2 linked regions of the Nothobranchius furzeri genome follow. The protein of the gene in region 1 purifies or fractionates together with the protein of each later gene. This does not show direct contact. Links are inferred from orthologs where the notes say so. Each region holds a gene or a part of one and is shown in the gene's direction. Other genes may lie near its edges.

Evidence for each region. The genes of interacting proteins can lie anywhere in the genome.
Region 2: the proteins of psmc3ip (region 1) and mnd1 purify together in Homo sapiens (co-immunoprecipitation; 6 studies listed by BioGRID and IntAct, counting the BioPlex papers as one, with this or other methods). This does not show direct contact. The link is inferred for Nothobranchius furzeri from reciprocal best matches to the Homo sapiens genes PSMC3IP and MND1.

The regions. Positions count from the first base shown.
Region 1 is NC_091745.1:7,581,484-7,586,967, forward strand, and holds psmc3ip (homologous-pairing protein 2 homolog), read left to right. Parts: upstream 1-3,009; 5' UTR 3,010-3,104; coding exon 3,105-3,123; intron 3,124-3,348; coding exon 3,349-3,449; intron 3,450-3,518; coding exon 3,519-3,608; intron 3,609-3,681; coding exon 3,682-3,793; intron 3,794-3,862; coding exon 3,863-4,008; intron 4,009-4,086; coding exon 4,087-4,140; intron 4,141-4,227; coding exon 4,228-4,287; intron 4,288-4,357; coding exon 4,358-4,414; 3' UTR 4,415-4,636; downstream 4,637-5,484. Other genes in the region: retreg3 (reticulophagy regulator 3), read left to right, coding at 116-248, 326-870. UniProt on the Homo sapiens protein: Plays an important role in meiotic recombination. Stimulates DMC1-mediated strand exchange required for pairing homologous chromosomes during meiosis.
Region 2 is NC_091744.1:16,841,067-16,847,558, reverse strand, and holds the end of mnd1 (meiotic nuclear division protein 1 homolog), read left to right. Parts: intron 1-881; coding exon of another isoform or gene 882-967; exon of another isoform or gene 968-1,212; intron 1,213-3,804; coding exon 3,805-3,849; intron 3,850-4,578; coding exon 4,579-4,685; 3' UTR 4,686-5,247; downstream 5,248-6,492. UniProt on the Homo sapiens protein: Required for proper homologous chromosome pairing and efficient cross-over and intragenic recombination during meiosis.

The DNA.
Region 1 (5,484 bases):
CATAAAACCGAAAGCATTTCTTATGGTAGAGGGAAATAGAAAAGAAGCGTAAAGATTTTTTACTTTTGTCTAACACAGGAAATTAAAAATATGTTACTCTTTTTTTGTCTTCCAGTTTGATGATGCTGTTGTTGCAAAAGAACTTGCCTTGACCGACTCTGAACACTCCGATGCCGAGGTGTCCTACACTGATAACGGGACATTCAACCTGTCGCGAGGTCAGACCCCGCTCACAGAGGGCTCTGAAGGTGAGGCTCCTGCTTTTTGTTGCTTGATCTTCTTTTTTGATCTCTCCTCTGACGTCTTTCTGTCTGCATTTGATCAGATCTCGACAGACACAGTGACGCAGAAGAATCTTTTGCCCAAGACCTCCCAGACTTCCCATCCATTAACCCCGATGCCACCCTGATGGATGATGAAGACGACACAAGCATCGGACTGCCCAGTCTGGGTCTGTCTGGACCTGCTAGTCACCGGGCCTCAGTGCTGGATGTTGATGCTCATCTGGACTCGGATCAGGAGGATCTGGACTCAGAACTTTCTCTCGGCGGTCTTCCACCTGTCTCAGATATCAGTGGAGACTTGGCTGGAGTCATTGCCAGCAACATGATTCAGGCAGCGCTGGCGGGCGCAATGCAACCTCGGCCTCCCACCACTCAACGCAGGCAAGGTCACCCTCAGGTCGGGGGCCACCGGAGCTACCGCAAACAGTCCAGCTCTGAGTTTGACACGGACTTGGATGCAGAAGACTTTGAAATGCTGGATCAGTCTGAACTGAACCAGATGGATCCCTTCGGAGGGGGGGGTTCTAGACGGGGTGACAGCCAGGGGTCTAACTTCTTCTCCAGCCTGCTTGGTAAACCACAGTGAAGTGTGTGTGTGTGTTTTGCTGAGGGTGTGCAGTTATGTGGGTAGAGTGTAAAATGATGATTGTGTGTGTGTGTGCGTGCGCGCACGCGCGTGTGTGTGCGTGTGAGGTGATTTTAGGTTCCAGCAGCCCTGCTTCTGGTAGGCATCAGTAAGTCACTGTGAAGTATTTCATTCTCCTCTTTTTAAATCCTTGTTTTATACGTTTGAATTCTTGATGATGGAGTTTTTAGGTTGTAGGCTGAGCAATAGGAAACACAAAAACAAAGTAAACTACATCACACATTTGGGTACACGGCATTGTTCGTACCCAGAACACACAGCTCCGCCCTGTGAAACCTTTTTTTACACAGAGGACTTGACCTTCAGGGCTTTTTATTGTAGGACCAAATGTGACATTCCTGTTGCTTAACCTGAGCCGTCTTTGATGAGTAATGACAGCATGAAGGAGCTTTTAATGTTAAAGTGCATTCAGTCATTGCTGGAGTCGTCGATCCTTCATGAACCAGTTATCAAACCTTTGAGATGGGATTTAGTGGTGGGACGTTTCTGTCCTCTTATGAGAGGGGGGGTTATTTTATGTTGCATGTTTTCAGAGCTTTTAGCTTTTAAACTCTTGTTAGCTGTTGTGTTTTCTAAAATTTCACTGATCTGCATAAAAATTTGAATTGTCAGGATGACTCCGCTGTTTTGTTTTTCTGATTACAGAAGCAAACATCTGTCTTTGGGAGCTTATTTAGTCGGCCACATCAGTCTTACCTGAACCAGCAGAGTACTGTTATATTTGTGCAGTATATTTATGAATGTGTGGAAATAGTGTTGATTATTTTTAGTTTGGCTGTCCCTGCACGAGCTGTCTCTATGACGTGTTTCTCGTTTGTAAAGAAATCCCAGATCAGATCAAATCACTTTAAATTGGATCATTTTTGATGGATTCAACAGCCAGGCTGAACTTTATGGGATCGTCATCAAATTCTCTGTTAGAGCGTATTGTTAAATTGACCCATGTTTACATCAAATTTGGATTAAAAAAATGTTTTAGTTGTTCATCTATAAATGCTTTCTTTTGAGCTGATCAGCCTGATTCTTCAATAAATAAGAAAGAGGAAATGGCACTTTAAACCAAAAAATATTAAGTTAAGATTTTATTGAAATCCAAATATCGAGTCTAAAATTCTGTTTTTAATAGAAAACCACATTAATCTTTCTTTAGTTATTTTTATTATTGTTTTTCACGAGTTTGCAAGATTTTTACCACAGCATAATACAGCTGTGTGGTGTAAAAAGCTGCACTGATGGAATCTTGCTGACACCTAAAATGTTCCCTTTGTAGGATTCAGTCTGAATCTTCCAAGCTGCTTCATGAAAAGTCTAACAAATCTTCAGCAGAGGTGATCCTGTGATGTGCTTAGTGCTGATTTCTCTGTCTGGTTTGCAGATGTTTTGAAACTGCATTGAATAAAATGTTTGCAAAGATTTTTGTCTCATAATAATAATAATAATGCGTGTGACATTTAAAATTGAACTAAACCAGGATGGCTTTAAAGAGCAAGTAAACCCCTACCAGAGTCTACTCCCACTTCATGTTTGAAAAATGCAACAAATGCTGTTGCCTGGCAGACCGAGAAGGCCGAGCTGCTAACAAATACACACACACAGGCTCACGACAGCATTGTGACATCATACCAGTTTACATCATAGCATACCTCTTAGCCAATAGCGGTGGCAGATTTAAATTAAAATACAGTGCAGAGTTTTTACCTGACAACGGCACAACACTGCCAGTTTTAGGCAGAATATTTAAATTTTAACTAAGATGCACTGAAATGCCAAATTATTGACGACACGTGTCTGCAGCACGATTAGACACTCGTTTATTTAGTTTATCAGCAAAAAAAAAAGTTTATTTGGGGGTGACTTGCTCTTTAAACCTTATTTATCACTTAGAACAAATTAAGATTTAGTCAAAATGACAGGGGTCTCACTTTGTTTTGGAAACCACGCAAACATAATGGAAAAGAACTGCTGAAGATACAAATAATGTGTACAACATTAGCTAAGTATAAATAAAAATGCTTATATTGAAAAATAAAGGCAACAAATGAAATCTGGGTTTTTCCGAGAAACTTTTCCTGTCAGAGTGAGATATCCTCATTTATAAACGATCTTTAGCGTGACGCAAATTATTGCGCGAAACTCAACATCAGGGCAGCTAACGTGAGAACGGACAGGTTGAAATGAGTAAAAAAGATAACGGTATGTTTAGGGTGATCTTTATTATAGAATATCTTAGATTTAAGCGACGTATTTGACTTTTAAGACATCCAACAAGAGCAGGCAACGATTGTTTGAGCTCGTCGGGAATAAAATGACCGCTTAGCTCGGTTAGCATCCAGCTAACGTTAGCTAAACACCTACGGATTTGAGTTTTTGTTGTGTAGGAAGAAACCATTTATAAATCATAATGTATCGCTGTCGTAGGGGCGGCAGTCATCCTTGCCTACCTAAACGAGAAGAACCGACCCTACAGCGCTCAGGACGTCTTCTGTAATCTGCAGAAGCAGCATGGATTGGGCAAAACGGTGAGATCCGCTCCTCGGGCTGGTGTTGTGTAGCCATTGCTCTATTGTTGGACTATATTCACCCAACAGGCGGTGGTCAAAGCCATGGAGCTGCTTGCTCAGGAGGGCAAAATAAAGGAGAAAATATATGGCAAGCAGAAGATCTACTTTGCTGATCAGGTTTGTTGTGTTGCTGTAGGCAGGAGCATGCTTTGGGATGCCTAACTCTACTATTGTTAATCTCTGCAAACAGAATCAGTTTAAAGATGTAAAGGATGATGACCTGAAAGCGATGGATGGTCAGATCTCAGAGCTTGGTGCAGAGCTGCAGTCCCTCACACAGAGCTGCAGACAGCTAGACGCAGGTACAGGACCCTGCTGACTGGTGCCTCTTGTTGCAGCTTGACCCAGAGTTTAACTCTTGTTTATGACAGAGCTGAAGGGCCTGAACAGTTCGCTCACTACAGAAGAGATGGTGGCAGAGATTAAAGAGCTGAAAGCGGAGTGCTCTGGATACAGAGCACGCGTGGAGAAGATCAAGTCAGCTACGAACCATGTCACACCAGAGGAGAAGGAGAAGGTGTGCACCTATAAAGTCTCCGTTCTGGCGAGGTGGTCTGCTTTCCCCTGAAACACACGTTCATGTTTTCATTTGCAGGTTTACAAAGAGCAAGAGGTTTATGTGAAGGAGTGGAAAAAGAGGAAGAGATTGGTACATGTATTCATTTGGAGTTAGAAATGCCTTCACACCAGATACGTTTTCAGCAACGAGCATTTAATAATTATTTGGGTCTGTCAGGCTTCAGAGATGATGAACGCCATCCTGGAGGGATATCCAAAGAGCAAAAAGGAGTTCCTGGTGAGCTGAAGAAGCAACATCACATTTCCTACATGGAAAAACAAATCCTCCAAGCTTTGTTCTTCTACAGGAAGAGGTTGGCGTGGAGACGGACGAGGACTGTAAGGTGGTGGTTCCAAGTTCTTGAACAAGGAAGTGGACCACACATCGGAGCTTTTTGAGCCACTTTATTTAACATTTCTTTCGAATAAATAATAAAAGGAAAAAAAATCAAACACATTTGTACAAAAGTTAGCATTCTTATTGGCTAGACTACATGTAGCTACTGCATCGAGGGCTGATTGTGACCCTAAAGGCAACTGTGGTGTTTTCTCCCCTTTAAAGCATCTTCATTATCCTGAGCTTACATAGAAAGTCAGCAAATGATTCAAACCTCTAACAGGCTTCAGATAGTTTGCTGCATACATTATTATATAGAGTGAACTGTTCAGCTGTTTCTAAATCAACATTTTCACAGTTGTTAATACTGCCAAAACTGCTTTGGGCTCATTCGCTGGTCACCACTACAAAACTACGATCCTGCCCTTTTCTGCTGTTGGTTTTGCACTTTATGTTCTCGTATGCAAATAAAATATTAAGTCCATAAATTGAAGTTTCTCTCCTGATGGTGATTAATTCACCACCGGCCACCATGCGATGTCATCAAAACAGCATCAGCAGCAGTCCACTGAACATATACACAACAGGGCAGAGGGAAGAGTGCAGTTTTGACGTTACGGGAAAAACTAGAGAGACTTTAGTGGCTGTGTGTTTTTATCTGTGCGTAACCTTTTAAACATTTCAAACAGAAAAATATTAGAACATGAAACGAGCCAGACTTCCGCAGCAGATCATGTCCACAAGAACAAAACGTTCAAATCTGCTGCTGATCCTAGAGAATCTAGAGTCAGAGGTTTGGAATAAAAAAAACAAACTGATGCATTTTAGAGTTTCTGCTTTCACTGTAGCACAGAGCGACGTCACGGATCATGAAAACACGACAGCATTTAAAATCGGGCTGAAATTCAAAGAAGGCTCATTAAAATCAACACCTGCTAAATGAACCTTTTTGACAGGTCACCTGCAGCTAAACTGTGACTAAACACTAAAGCCTGTTGGAGACCTGTGGCATATTTACAACATTTATCCGCCTCATTCTTGGAACTAACCATTTATTTACCGCCACACTGAAGGCAGAGGACTTTAAAACCACCAGTG
Region 2 (6,492 bases), on another chromosome or scaffold:
CTAAGCTAACGCGGAGGTGGGAGCTAAGCTATCGGAGGTAGCTACCTAGCTACAACCGGAGATAACTGTGCACAACACCGGAGCTTCTGAGTCAGAGATCCGCCGTGCTGACCACTGGGTAAAACTGGGTGGAACACAGAGGTCTCCGAGAGCTCCCCAAGCCGACAGGCGCAGCTGCAATCAGAGATGCGCTGAGCTGTCGCTGGGGAGAGGGAGACCATACCGATAGTCGGAACCCAGCTCCACCAACATGTTATATTTCAACCCATTTTCAAAAATGCAGCATTATGTTAAATGCACTGGGTTTTACCCTATTACATTTAAATTTCATGGTTAAACAGTACATGTTAAAATCTAAGCTCAGCTCGGCAGTGACCTAACCTTTCCTAGCTCATTCTCTGCTTATACTGTTTGCAGTCAAACAGCTTCTGTAAAGTATCATTCTAGTAAATGATGCATGGACTTCCAGAGCAACCCACTCCTTCATTACGTTCACGGCTCTCCACATCAGACAACTGGCAGATTTCTAGCTTACAGAAGAAAGTAGTACATCCTGGTTTTGATCCTTTGTTGCTAAGAATATTTATTGTGAATCGATTTGAATTGAGAATGGATTCTGAATGGAATCTTCACCCCGAGAATTGGAATCGAATTGAATCGTGAGATGTTGTAAGAATCACACTGTCACTGTTTATAGAGTTTAAGGTTCAGCATCAGAACATACCACCTGCCAGCAGTCAGAAACGTTCTGCATGTGAAGGATGGCTGTTTGAACCATAAACTAGTTAAATATTAATGACAGGCTTCCCTCATCAACACTGGTAGATTGGTTCTAACTTATTTTTTGTTGCCTTTTCAACGACTCCCGCGATTTTCTTCAGAGCTCCGTGACATCTGGTGTGTCGAGGTTGTTGCTGCAACAATAGAACAAGGTTTCCAGCCATCGGGATACCAGATTTGTTGCTGATAAGTGGAATTTTTTTGTTTGACTCCATCTGTTGAAAATGAAGCTAAATTAATTAATTAATTGTTGACATTTTAACAAAATTTGTTAATTACAGTTTTACTTTTATTCATAGTTAAAGTATTATTACGTACATATGTGTGTAAATAGATATCCTAGCAGCCCTGCTGTGGATGTATTGCAGTCTGAATGGTTTCTCCAGAAACCCTGATGAGGAGAACATTACAGTAGTCCAACTGGAGGAGACAAAGGCATGGACAAGCTTCTCTGCATCTGCCTGGCTTAGCATTCGACGTGGTTTTGCCTAAGGTGATAATAATAAGTCTTACACTGGTGTTTGTTGTGGGTGTCAAAGGTGAGTTGTGAGTCCATTTTGTCACCCAGATTGGTGACAGTAGGTATGCTTTGGCCAGAGAAGGTAGTGCTGGAGCTGCTGTCCGACCCTGACATGAGCATTTGCAGAGTTGTGGACGATGGCTAAGAGGAACTTTTTCTTTTTAAACTCCAGGGAGATGATACCTGACTTCACTAAGAGTATAAGTGACCAGGTTTTAACTAAGAGAATGGTCTTTTTTCTGAGAATGTATTCTAATTCAATAAATGCTGCTGTGTCCATCCATCTGCTGATCTGGAGTCGGATGGTGTGGGCAGCAGCCTAAGCAGAGAGGCCCTGACTTCCCTTTCTCCAGCCACTTGAGCCAGCTCCTCGGGGGTTATCCTGAGGCATTCCCAGGCCACCCCTCTATTGTGTTCTAGGTCTTTTTTAGATCTCCTGGTTGGACCTAACCAGGGAGACGTCCAGGAGGCATCCTAACCAGATGCGCGAACCACCTCAATTGACACCTCGATGTGGCGGAGCAGCAGATCTACTTCTCGCTTTATCTCTAATCGGGTGGCCCAGACGCCCCGGGGAGAAAGCTCATTTTGGCTGCTTGTATCTGCGATCTCATACTTCGGTCACTACCCAAAGCTCGTGACCGTAGGTGAGGGTTGGAATGTTGATCAACCGGTCTGGTACAACGCTCGCATCCCTGCAGATGCAGCACCAATTTGCCTATCGATTGTTCCCTCAAGTGAACAAGACCCCGAGATACTTAAACTTCTCCACTTTAGGCAGGACCTCGTCCCTGACCTGGAGAAGGTATTCTACCCTTTTCCGATCCAAGACCACGGTCTCGGATTTAGAGAAGCTGATTCTCATTCCAGCTGCTTCACGCTCCACTGCGAACCGCTCCAAGTAAAAGCTGGAGATCAGTCTAAGAGAGTTAACAGGACCACAATATCTACAAAAAACTTCAGGCCACCAAAACAAACCGCCCAACACCTTGACAGCACCTAGATATCCTGTCCATAACAGTTGTGGATGGTATCAGTGACAAAGGGCAGCCTTGGTGGTGTCCGCCAAGGCTGTCCACATGTCTTAGACAAATATTTGAGACAGAAGGGAAATCACCTGTGTGCTCTTACTTTCAAACTTTGTTTTCATCCAGCTGTCTACGTGCCTGCAGGTCTGATTATCTACTTTCTGGCCTCACACACACACACACACACACACACACACACGCACACGCGCGCACATGCACACACACACAGGGTTTTGTTAAAGATAACTATCTCTTTAGTGATGATTGAACCTTGTAGAGGCGTGTGCAGCTGTGCTCTGAGGTTTCTCGTGTTTTGTCTGCTGCAGATTAAAGTCAGACTTGTAGAAAGCCTTGTATGCTAAAGTTCTTATTTCCAGTATCTTTAAACATGAAATTATAATTGATTAAAACATTTTGGTTGATCAGAAGCTGTCTGTCAGTTCCAGACTCACTGTTGAACCAGAAACTGCTGAGCCATCTGGTTTTATTCCACTAAAGTGTACCTACAGACAACGCCCTCTTGATCAAGCCAAGTCACACGCAGCTGTAAATGTTCTGGTTCGAGGCTGTTGCCACGCCCACATAAACCAGTTGTAGTAACAGGTGAGGTGGGTGTGCACACAGCAGGGCAAAAGGCTTGTGTTTTGGGTTAATTTAGTTCATCAACAGTCCTCCTCACACCTGTAGTTCCCAGATTAGGCAGCTGCAGTTACACATGGGGTTAAAATCACAACAGTTTATTTGTACTTATAACACCCACTAGTTAGTGAATGATAAACATCTTTTGAAATCAATTAAAGACCAGTTTTCTTTATAAAAACACTATTCTTGATCAAGGAGCCTTGTTCCTGCTAAATAAAAGAGCAATAAGGATAAAATGGCAAGTCCAAATTGGAAGCACTAGTTTAATGAGTTAGATTTCATTGCTGTATCCGGTTACTTCCTCCTCCCATCTGCAGTTATAAACTACCAACCCTGTTGTGGCAGTTAACCTGTAGTAGTTTATCTTTACTAAACTTAAGGTTGTTAATCACTTCCATATGGAGCCCAAATACTTATGTGATCAGTATCAAGTTAAAATGTGGTTTTATTGCTATGGAAGCACTCACCTCAGATTGATTTGCTTATGTGAAATGGAAGGTAAAGTAATTTCTGCCACTGGATTTTCTTACTTCCTGTTGTAGATTTTAATTTGAAGAAGCAGCTCAGACTGGTTACGGTTCATTATGTAGCTGTGTTTTAGCTTTTTAAGCCAATGTTGTTTTAGTTAGACACCAGCAATATCACTCACATCTAACAATTCAGGCGTGAGATTGACTGTAGCACTCAGCGCACTTCTCAGCATCTCACTGAGCTGTCGACAGTCTTACGAGTTCAGGATCTGCCTTAAAAGTCTCCTTTGCCAGATTTTTCTTTTGCTGTTTAAACCATTTATGCAGAAGTGGTAAATAAATGGAGGTTTTTGGTGTCTTACAGGAAAGTCCAACGGAGTGGCAAAAGAAGCTGTCTCCAGGTGGACAGGTGAGTCATTTTTACGTTTATACATGGACATCAATTCAAGATGAATGAAACTCGTCTTAAAAATATGAACTTTTTTCTATGGGATTGTGTAGTTCTGTTGTTCAAGAGGCAACATTTCCATCAGTTTTATGGCTTGTGTTGTAGTAAAGGAAATATTATGGGATGTTGTTCTAATGGTTGAAGACTTTTGTTGGACGTTAACTCTTCAGATTTGAGACGATGGTAAATTTAGATTTTTGTTGTTTTATATGTTTTTTATATTACAGTTAATGGAAACAGATCTCTGCATTTATTTATACAACAGTAGAAACAAAAACTAAGTTTGAGCCTCTCCTAATAGATGACTCAATCCAGCCATCCTCCTCCAGCTCTTAGCTCGACTTGTGCATTTGTTGACTTCGTAATGAGATCGGACCGCTGGTCATACTGGTAACCAGTCTCCTGACTGGTTAGGCTAAAAATACTTAGTGCTGGTTAACAGAAATGTTTTGTTGACTGAAGATTTTTTGCATTCACAGAAGTCACGGGTTCCATTTCTGTCTGGAGGTTTTTTTCATGAAATAGTCAAATCTTTGGCTAAAGCCTGAATATTTACTAGGATTAATAGGTTTTGTTGGCGAGATCACTTGGTGTCGATCCCTTTCTTTTTTCCAACTGACTGAATTAAAAGGCTTTTTCTTTATTGGTGAAATTGTCTTTATTTTTATTTTATTTTTTTTTTTTTTGCAGACAACGTTTTTGCCATCAAGTCCTGGACCAAAAAGAAGTTTTCTTTTGATGATGGCCACATTAATAAAGCCTTTGGCATCCCAGAGGACTTTGACTACATGGACTGATTGGAATATTCAACCAAAACAGAAGAAAAAATGTGTTAAAGATTCTGTTTGAAGCTCAGTTTCCTAAAAGCTTCTGTTCTGGTTTCTGTTCTGAGCTTTAAAGTTAAAACATGAATGCACCACCGTTCATTTTTACAGCCTGTAGTTAGAAGTAGGTGCTGTTTCAGCGTGCCAGATGGACCTCATCAGTGGAGATACTGCTTGGGTGCAACCGGAGACAAGATCAAGCCAGCCATTAGTGACTGTGAGGGGTTCTGGGGTAGACACAAGTGAGCAGCTTGACTTCTTGGACACCTGTTTGCATGAAAACTGAGAGCTCCAAACTGTTGATGGAAAGAAATCAACACTCAGTCATCTGCATCTCTAATTGGTGCATTTATGTCTTAAACAGATGTGTTGGGATGGAATATTGGGTGAACCTTTTTCCTCTAGATTTAAGATTTTTCTGTTTTATTCAGAACACATCCAAAAGAATAAAGCTACAGCTATATGTTTTGCCGTTAATGTTAAAAATATTTATTGGTTTTACTTTTAAATAAACTGTTCGACAAGCTTGGCACAACTCGTGCATATTTGTGCATCAAACCTGTTCTTTTGCTCATCTTTTTGAGAAACTGCACCCGTGGTGTTGCACAATCTGTCATTGAAACATTTCTTTCCCACTTTATGTACCCAAAAAAAGTCTAGAATGACTGTTATGTTTTTTTCTCCTTCCATGTTAGCTAAAACTAATGCAAACCTTGTATTTGGGTATTCTGTGTTTACTCATTCGACCTAGTTGATAAAGTCGGTGTGCCTTTGGTTGGTTGATTTAAATTTCAAATATGCTCTGTGCAGGCAGGACGTTAGTGTGGTTTCAGCACCGCCTGTTCATAGCATGAAGGTCTATGTTGAATGTGCAGATCTGTTTGTGAGCAGATTGCCTTTTTTATCTTCTACAGGGCTGCGTGGGCTCTTTCTGGGTTCTTTGGTTTCCTCACACAGTCAAAAAGCGTTCAAGTCAGATTAATCTACTAACTAAATAAAACCTTGGTGTGTTAGACCTGTGATACCGTGTCTCAAGTGTAACTCGTCTCTTTGTTAGGCATGAACCACAAAGATTTTTTTAAACACTTTGCAACAATTTTTGCACAAAAGGTGAGTACTCTGTTGTTTTTGAGAACTGTAAAGCAACATTTGTAGTTGTGCAAATGCGATCACTGCAGCAGCATTAACGCAACATGAGAAGAAAGAATGTAGACTCCCAGCTGCATGACACGCCCACGTGTGTGAGGTGTTGCTTCATGTGTGTACCTGTCTAACCAGTCCTGACTGATTCATGCAGCCGACACGCTGAATGTCAACACCATAGAAGATGTTTCAGTTTTCCTCAGCAACTTGGACTATACCTGGAACTTCTGCTTAAAGTATACCGCCTCCTAAGATATGGTTGGATGGTTTCTGCTTGCTGTGTTTGAACACTGCTGGGAAGATTAAGAGTTTCACAGAAACATTTTGTAATAAACTTGTTCTCATACTTAGACACTGGTTGTATATGTCTTTGGGTCACTAACTGTGCTAAATATTTTTCTGAGATGCCAGAGTGAAAGTACATTCATTTTTTATTTGAGATAATGCATTTGGGCAGTGTGATAATGTTACAGGTTTAGTGTTTAAAGGTGGAATATGGAACACGAACACCAAAGCGACATCTAGGGTGTGATGGTTGTAATTGCAACAATAAAACAAGGTTTTCATTCGTCGGGATTCCAGGTTTGCTGCTAAGACGTGAATTTTTTTATTTGTGTCCATCTGTTGTAGGCTTCAT